Linked DNA regions of Sus scrofa. The protein of the gene in region 2 interacts with the protein of the main gene of each other region in a biochemical or structural test. Links are inferred from orthologs where the notes say so. Each region holds a gene or a part of one and is shown on either strand. Other genes may lie near its edges.

The links. The genes of interacting proteins can lie anywhere in the genome.
Region 1: of the proteins of LIMK2 (region 2) and ROCK1, one has a biochemical effect on the other in vitro, tested with the Homo sapiens proteins (2 studies listed by BioGRID). The link is inferred for Sus scrofa from reciprocal best matches to the Homo sapiens genes LIMK2 and ROCK1.

What each region holds. Positions count from the first base shown.
Region 1 is NC_010448.4:106,312,199-106,316,430, forward strand, and holds the start of ROCK1 (rho-associated protein kinase 1), read right to left. Parts: upstream 2,801-4,232; 5' UTR 1,851-2,800; coding exon 1,758-1,850; intron 1-1,757. UniProt on the Homo sapiens protein: Protein kinase which is a key regulator of the actin cytoskeleton and cell polarity.
Region 2 is NC_010456.5:47,982,517-47,986,783, forward strand, and holds the start of LIMK2 (LIM domain kinase 2), read left to right. Parts: upstream 1-1,467; 5' UTR 1,468-1,637; coding exon 1,638-1,653; intron 1,654-4,267. UniProt on the Homo sapiens protein: Serine/threonine-protein kinase that plays an essential role in the regulation of actin filament dynamics. Acts downstream of several Rho family GTPase signal transduction pathways.

The DNA of each region.
Region 1 (4,232 bases), on a different chromosome or scaffold from region 2:
ATATAGCATACTCTGGCTCTCAACTCACAGAGAGTTCTTCCTTTCAATATACAAGAATGTATATTACCTATACCAAATATTTGAAATTTATCACATATTTCCTCTGTGAAGTGTTAGCTTTGTTTTTGTGTATGTGTATAAGATTAGGACTTGTTTTTCTAAACAGATTGGTACTTTTAAGGAAAGACTCCATGACTTATATTTCCTTGTATCCTCCACATTTCAATAAACTTGTGACGTTCCCAACAAATGAAGCTATGGCAATAGGCTAGAAGACAACTAAAAACAAACCCCACCAAACAACAACAAAAAAATCTACTAAACCCTCCTTGTAATGGAATAAGGAGATCAAAAAGCAATGTAAAATCACAGATACAAGGAAACTGGACAAATATTAAATGAAGAATTAGACATCTTAAGAGTTACAGAGATTCTTCTTAGAAAGACATGTCCTAAATTCTTCCACTTCTCTCATTCGATAAAATGTTCTCAATTGTATTAAGCATTAACCCTCCTTTTTGTTTCTCAATATGAAGAGCATGCACAACGTGGGTGAGACATTTCAAACATAAAGCCCACAGTTTATTTCAGTCAAGGATGCTCAGAGTAATTTAAAAAGCTGTGGGGAGAAACTTTCATGTAGAACCATACACATTAGAAAACATACACAGGTATTTGGGAGTAACTGAAATGTATGTTAATTTTAAATGATCTACATCATTTCCCTGATTCAAGATGAGATTTTAAAATATTATTTCTCTGGAGTGGAATTATTTAGTTCACTTAATTCTAATCCCAAATATTGTGTACATCTAACACCTATCCCTGAGAAGGTTGTAAATCACTATTCATATACATACTCTTTGCAACCTTAGAGATTATATGGTTGTGCATGGACCAATAGAACTATTATATAACTTTTAGTTGTTCAGTAAAATAAAAAGAAAAACTTCCTTACAGATGGTTTCCAACTATTACTATTAGGGGAAATTGACAAAACTTAAGAATTCCAATTATCTACAATTAATTGTTCATGCTATAAACCACTGAAGAATTTTTAAAATCGTGTTTTGGCCTTTCATATCATAAAAACTTCTTTAGAATGTTTCAAAAGACATAATGTTAACAGGTACAACACTACCAAAAAAAGGGCAGTTATGATAAAATATCTGTGCAGGACTTCTGTAATCAACAATATTGTAAAAGACTTTAATGTGATGACCTATCATCAGTTATCTTGGATTTTTACACTTAGTAGTCCAGCAAAAAAGTTCTCTCAGACTCAAATCACCTATGACACTTTGGCTCAAAAATCACTTCCTCAATATAGATTCTATATTGTCACAAGTCTAAAAATTAAACCCTTAAGGAGGTAAATCGCTGAAAATGGAAAACAGTCTTTTCCAATCTTACTGTCAAACCGATCAGAAAGATTAATATTACTAAAATCGCCAATCAACAAACTATACACATAGTAATAAGCTGGACGGGGTAACTATGATGCCTGCAAGTTTATTAAGTGTCTTTTGTGTAATGATGAACTGAGTCAGAACTACAAGTTGAGAGAGTAGTTAGTACAATGATAAACAGGGCCACAGCACGAGATTTTAGTGGTACTCCAATATTCTTCACAAACACCACCAGATTTTGGTGTTTTCCACACCTGAATTTTTCTTTTGCCGATAACCAGACTGAAAGCAAGAGGAAGGAAATAAACAGAGAACCTCAGACAAGCAAAAGAGAACTGGGCTACTCACCAGCAAACAATCTGAATTCACTTCCGATTTGGGATCCCGCAGCAAGTTGTCGATTTTTTCAAACCGAGTCTCAAAACTGTCCCCAGTCGACATGTTGCTGCTACTGTGACAATACCCTCGTACCAGCACAAGCAGCGGAAAGCAATTTCAGCCAACTTCCTCCGGCGGTGGGTTCGCGGCCGCCGGGCGGAGGAGCCGGAACTCCAGGGTCACCAGGTGCGCGCGGTCCCCCTCCTCCCCCTCACTAAGGGGATCTCCGCTCTCCAGACCCCGGGCCGGGGGCGACGGCGACCCACAGCCGCTCGGATGCCCAAAGTAGCATCCCACCCGGCAGCCCCTCACGACAGCCGACAGCGCCGTCGCCACCAGACTTGTCGCTCCAGGCAAATGCTTCAGCCTAGCGGGCCCCGGCCGCCTTGGCCATGGAGAGTTCCCGGTCCCGAGATGGGCAGGAGGGGGTAGAGAAAGAGAAGCAGGGTGGAGACTCCTCCGGGCAGCAGGGGAGGGAGAGGAGGAAAGGCGAAAGCGAAGGGCGGGTGCGGAGCCGTGCCAGCTGCCGCCGCCGCCGCCGCCTGGGCCCCCGGCCGGGCCCGCTCCGTTCTGAGGCGCTGGAGGCGGTCTAGCCCTGCATCCCCGGCACCACTTGGCCCGGCCCGACGCACCGACCCGCGCCGGCCAAGAGCTGGTCCCCGAGGGATAGCCTCACTCTCCCATTTTGTCCTGGCGCTGCTGGGGCTGCTGCTGTGGCGTCCGGCGGGGCAGGGCGAGGTCGGTGCCCGATGGAGACTTAGGAGAGGACAGGCTGGAGAGCGGCCGGTAAAGGAGATGAGAGTCGGGTCCCGGCGGCTGCTGCTGGGGGAGCTCCTGGGAGGTGCTGCGGCCCCGGCTGGGGAAAGGGCGAGTCGCGACGGCGAACGCTTTGGGGGGTGGGGCGATGGGGGCCGTGAGGGACTAATATGTCCGCCTTCCTGTTCAAACAAACGGAGACCGCCGGCGTAGACTGCGCATGCGGGGCGCGGACGTTCGGAAGGGGAACCGGGCCTGCCTCGCGCGCGCGCGCGCGCGCGCACTCCGGCGCCTCCGCAGGGCCGGGCGGGGCTGGGTTGGGCGGGGCCGGACGGAAGGCGTGGCGCACCCCGGGCTTCGCGGGCGGGCGGGGTAGGCTGGCAGCCGTGAGGAGCCGACCGGGTGCGGCAGGCAGCGTAACCCTCTCGCCGGCAGGCTCTAGGGAGCCACGCAGCGCTTAGGAAGCGGCTGTGAGAGTCCGGGCTGGGGAGGAGCTCTTGCTGCCTCTAGTCGCGTCCTGGCCGCTGCCTCAGCTCCGCTTCCTTTGGGCTGCAACCGTCGGGTGAATTCTGGCAAGAAAGAAAGGGTGCTTGTTATTGTTATTTTGGAGCTAAGTGGGTTTTTGTTTTTGTTGTCGTTTGTTTCTTGTTTTAAGGGCAAATACCTTTCCGCCGGCAGGCATCAGCATTTTGGCACCACCGGTTTCAGGTCTTCAGTAGTACTGAGTGAACTCCACATGGTTTAACTCGCCTGTGCTTCCATGGGAAAATTACGAAGCAATGCAGTTCATAACCCTCCTAAACCGAGCGTGTGTGTCAGGGGAGCATTAAAATATTGACTCCGGAAGATCTAGTCAGTAGAAATCAAACTCAGTTTAGTTTAAAAAACAAGCCAAATAATAATTATAATCTCGTAGGAAAAATCCGTATTTTTAAGTTAATGTTACTAGTTGTCCTACACCATTGTAGTTCACTTATTGATGCGTAATCCTGACGTTTCAATTTCAAAACATTCAGTGAAACTTGGAATTGTGATTTTACCAGACTAAAGTAGAACGTGAAAATAATGGGCATGTCCTCTTAAATAAGTTGCGTCATTGACTGTACTGAGAGAGTGAGACTGTTCCCCAATCTGCTGATAAAGTTATGTTCCTCACTGCTTTCAGCAGGAAATCTACCGTAATTCGTATGTAGTCAATCTTTAGTTTTGCTCATAGGTCAAATGAAGTATTGCCAGAAATAAAAAATGTAAATGTTTTATCCCACACTGGAAAATGCTGCAGATGAACCAATTGTCTTTGTATGTAAAAATCACTGTGCAGCGTCTGAACAGTTCACCAACTTTCTGAAGTGAGTCAGGGTTTAGGAAAAGTTATATTATTTGAAAAATGTCTCTTCTCTTTTCATTGCATTAGATACAAGAAATAGATGTAAAATCCACTGTATAAATCAAGATAGGAAGTCCTCACAAGAATCATATCAAAAACAACTAGATGGGGAGTCCCCATTATGGCTCAGTGGTTAATGAATCCGACTAGGAACCATGAGGTTGTAGGTTCCCTCCCTGACCTTGCCCAGTGGGTTAAGGATCCGGCGTTGCTGTGAGCTGTGGTGTAGGTCACAGACGAGGCTCGGATCCCTTGTTGCTGTGGCTCTGGTGTGGGCCAGCAGCTACAGCTCCGATTAGACC
Region 2 (4,267 bases):
TGAAGACTGTGAGGCTGGAGGTGTGAAAACAATGGAACAAGACAGAGTGAAGAGGGAGAAGAGACAGATTTGGGTGCTTTGCTGAGGGACAGAGGAAGAAGGAAGACTCCCAGGGGTCTTGGTTCCAAAGCTGCCAAGGGCTTAGGTAGGGAACATACACTATAACCTCTTTCCATGTGCAGGGCAAATAAATACTGCTCCTTTTTGCTAGCCATGAGGTGGCTTGTCAGGAGAGTCCTCTGGATCCCCGTCACTTTAATTCAATACATAGTCTCATCATTACTGTAGTCAGAGCAGAAATTTCCTCAGAAACTAAAGCCAACTGCTGAAGAGGATTCCTAGGACCTAAGGAAAGCCAGGTACATCACCTCCACCACCCCTCAGCACTTTCCTCACACTCAGGACCTCAGGAGCTACCTACTACACCCAGAGGAGAAAAATCTGACCTGCATCTAGTTTGGACTACAGGATCAGGGCAGGAAGGGAGAATTATGCTCACCTTTGCTTACTCGAGTGCTGGTTGAATTTTGTCCTTGGTAGGAGTGTCATCCATTTCCTCAGGCCCCATCCCTGTCCCTTCCTGGTCATTTGTATGTTTTTCTCATGACCTAAATCTGATCTAAAGAAATGGCAGTTTCCAAAGACCCAGCACAGGAGAATCTGATGGGAGGGACCAGCTGATATGACAGACCCTTCGTCACACAGAGGACCTCAGTCCCCACCCAAACCCAGTGAGGGAAGTGGTTCTCAAAGCCCCTCAGCCAGCTAACAGCTGCCAGAGACCAGTCTGCTGTCCCAAGGCCTAGTCTAGTGCTCTCTTCTTTATAGTCCAAAGGGCAAATCCAGTTCACAGGTATATTTCCTTTGACCTACATGGCATTTTTAGAATTTGAATGTTAGCAACATTAAAAAAAAAGGGGGGGGGAATTGCACCTAAATACCTGGATTTTTGACTTGTCTTGAAAAATTGGAAGACCTGGTGTTCTGGGCTCATTTGTATAACCTACTTGACCGCTGAGTGTCAGCTTGCTCCTAGTGGCACAAACAAGTGGCTTCTCTGAGCTGGAAGCTTCTAAGAAAAGCCCACCCCCAACCCCCCAAAGGTATTTGTGGGGTAAACCTGGTTTCACCATGTTCATATTTTTGATGCCAAATACTCTACTGGAGAGAGCTTTCGACTGGGAGTGAAGAGCCTGCCTTCCCAGCCCAGCCCAGCCCCCAATGAGCTAAGCCATTCTGAGCTAGTCAAAACTTGTCCCCTCTGGTCCTCAGCCGTCCTCATCTGTAAAATGGGCTGAGGGTCCTCTGTGTTGAGATCTCCACCCTGCGCAGCGTCTGCGCAGCCTCGTCAGCTCAGGCACCAACCGAGGACGCCGTTCGCGCTAGGGGGCACCAGAGCCGCCAAAGAGTCCGACCGGTGGGCGGGCCAGGGTCCCGGGGCGGGGCCTTGCGTCTGTTGGGCGGGGCGTCGGCGGGCGGGGCCCCGGTGCCAGGTGCGGTTTGGTCCTCCCCGGGCGCCGTAGGCGGCGCATCCCTCGCGCCCGGGGCTGAGATCCTCCCGCGCCTGAGGCAGCGGTGGCAGCTGAGCGGAGCTGCAGTGGCCCCAGCCTCCTCCCCATTTCCGCGCCTCCGGGACCATGGCGGCGCAGGCGGGTAAGGAAGGGCCAAGCAGTCCTGTCCCGGGCCCGGGGCGCCTGAGGGGAGCTGGCGGCCCCTCGGGGGTTTCGGGCTGAGTGGACCCGGGGCGGGGGTGGCCCCGGCTCCTTAAAGGAAGAATTTGGGAGTGGTGAGCACCGCGCTTCCCGAAGACTGGGAAGTTGTGGAGGGAGGGCGGGGCGGCTTGGGCGACTTCCCGTGAGTTGAGGTCCCTGGGAGGAAGGGATGCTGGCGGCATCTTTTTTTGTGGACTTGGCGACCGAAAGTCTTCAAAACTCTTTCTAAAGAAGCTGAAGGATCCGGATTCCCTAGAGGGTTTGGGGAGTGTGAGGAGCACGGGGTCCTCAAAGTTGGGAGCACTTCTGAGAGGATGGAGCGTATACCTCGGGTTCTGGATTTTCTGTGGAAAATTGAGGAGTTTGACTCCCGTCACGGGATCCGAGGCTTCTGGCGGGTGTCTCGGTGCCTGCGGCCCCCTGGGTCTTGGGTTCTCTGCGAGAAAAGGGCAGTGTGGGCTCCCTTGGGTTTTGGGACACGACCTGGGGGGAGAGAGAAAGTGGAGCATTATTCCTGGGGAAGGTAGGCTCCCCAGGGGCTCGGGCCCTCTTGGTCCCTCTGACACAGGAGAGGAATGTGGCCAAACACCTCCTGGAAAGAAGAGCTTATGAGGGTGAAGGGTAGCTTCAGTGTTAGGTTGGCTGTGCCTGCGGTCCCCTCCCAGTCACTCACACCACCCTGCAGCTTCCTGCCCTCCTGGCCTGTCTCCCTGCACCAGGGACTTTCTGTTTCCCAGCCACCTGTGTGGGTGGCCTAGCCTTTAGGTCGACCAGGGTCAGCGTCCAGAAGCTTTCTAGAGCTGGCAGGAGGGAATAGTGGAGGAGGGAGGCTGTCCTGGAAATCTGCCCCCGCTTCCTGGCTTTCAGCCTGTGGACAGTCACTTCCTCCATCCTGAATACAAGGACCAGGCCACCAGTGGGTCACTTCCTCACCATGGGAGTATGGGATTTTCTCCTCATTCTTGATAATAGGCTTCTGGAGAAGGAGGGCTAGGGGTAGGAATACTCCCTGTCCCTTCCTCTTTGTTTTTCTGTTTTTGTTTTTGTTTTTTAGCTTCCAGAGTTCTTTAGCTCAAGTGATCTCCATTGGTTTTTTCCTAACCTCTGTAGCATAGGTTTCCTGTTCTGAACCTTGAATCTCAGAAACTTGTGAAAGATCTTAGAGTGCAGTAGTGTTTATTAGTTTTTCTCTGAGTGATTCATAAAGCTGTCTAGAGGCATTACTGTTTGTAGATGCATTAGTCTGTACATTCTTTTTTTTTTTAGGGCCACACCTGAAGCATGTGGGAGTTCCCAGCCTAGGGGTTGAATTGGAGCCGCAGCTGCCAGCCTATGCCACAGCCATAGAATGCCAGATCCTTAACCCACTGAGTGGGACCAGGGATCAAACCCGCATCCTCCTGGATACTAGTCAGGTTTGTTACCACTGAGCCACAATGGGAACTCCAGCCTGTACATTCTTCTGTGAGAATATTTGTTGGATGCTTCTGTACCATGTACTTGGTCAAACACTGAGGAGTATGGTGATGAACAAAATCGATATAATCTTTGCCTTTGGGATGCTTACAGTCCTAGAGATGAACAGTAAATAATTGAGGTAACAATTGAGATAAATGCCATAGTAACTGAGATAAGCAATTGAAATAAATGCTGTACGATTGCACCAGAGGTAAGAGGATAGGGAATAATTGTGTTAAAAAAGCAAGTTTAGGAATTTTCTTATAGTGCAGCAGGTTAAGGATCCGGCATTGTCACTGCAGGACTTGGATCACTTGCCGAGGAACTTCCACATACTGCAGGTACGGCCAAAGAAAAAAAAATCAAGTTTATACTGACCCTTGAGGATAAGTAGAAGCTAGTCCAGCTAAGAAAAGACAAAGAACTTCCCAAGTAGAGAGAATAGCATAAAGAGACCCTGAGTAGGAAGGCATATGGTGCCTTTGAAGAGCTGAAAGGAAGCCAAGTATGGCTTTTTTATGGATGAGGAGACTAAGGTTCAGCAATTACTTGTTCAGGGTTCCATAGCCAAATAAATGGTGGTGGTCAGAGGTCATATTTTCCAGATTCACATTTGGTGCTTCATCTCTGTATCACAGACACCAGAATGAGGTTTCCCATGGAGTCAGAGAAGGAAGTGGGGCTTCAACTTTTACCTGCCCTATCTAAGCTGTGTTCCAAGACAACTCAGATTCCCTTGTAACTGGAGAATCAACAACAAAGAAATCAAATATTTACTGAGTACCTGTGATGTCTAAGGCATTGGGTTGTGCCAAGTATTACCTCTTAGAAATTTTAACAGATGCTAGAGCTGGGGGAGACTTGAGATAATATAACTCTCCTTATTTTATATGTAAAGAAACTGAGACCCAGGGGGAAAAATGGATTTGTTGTTGATTTTTTTTACTCAACTAGTGATAGATCAGGACTAACCTGATAAAGAAATTCTTTGTAGGCCTTCCCCTAGATAAGAAAATGCCTACTCATTCACAGCTAAGTAAACTTATGGTTGGAAGTGAGAACATGAGTGCCCAAAAGCCACAGGACTCATCTGTCTT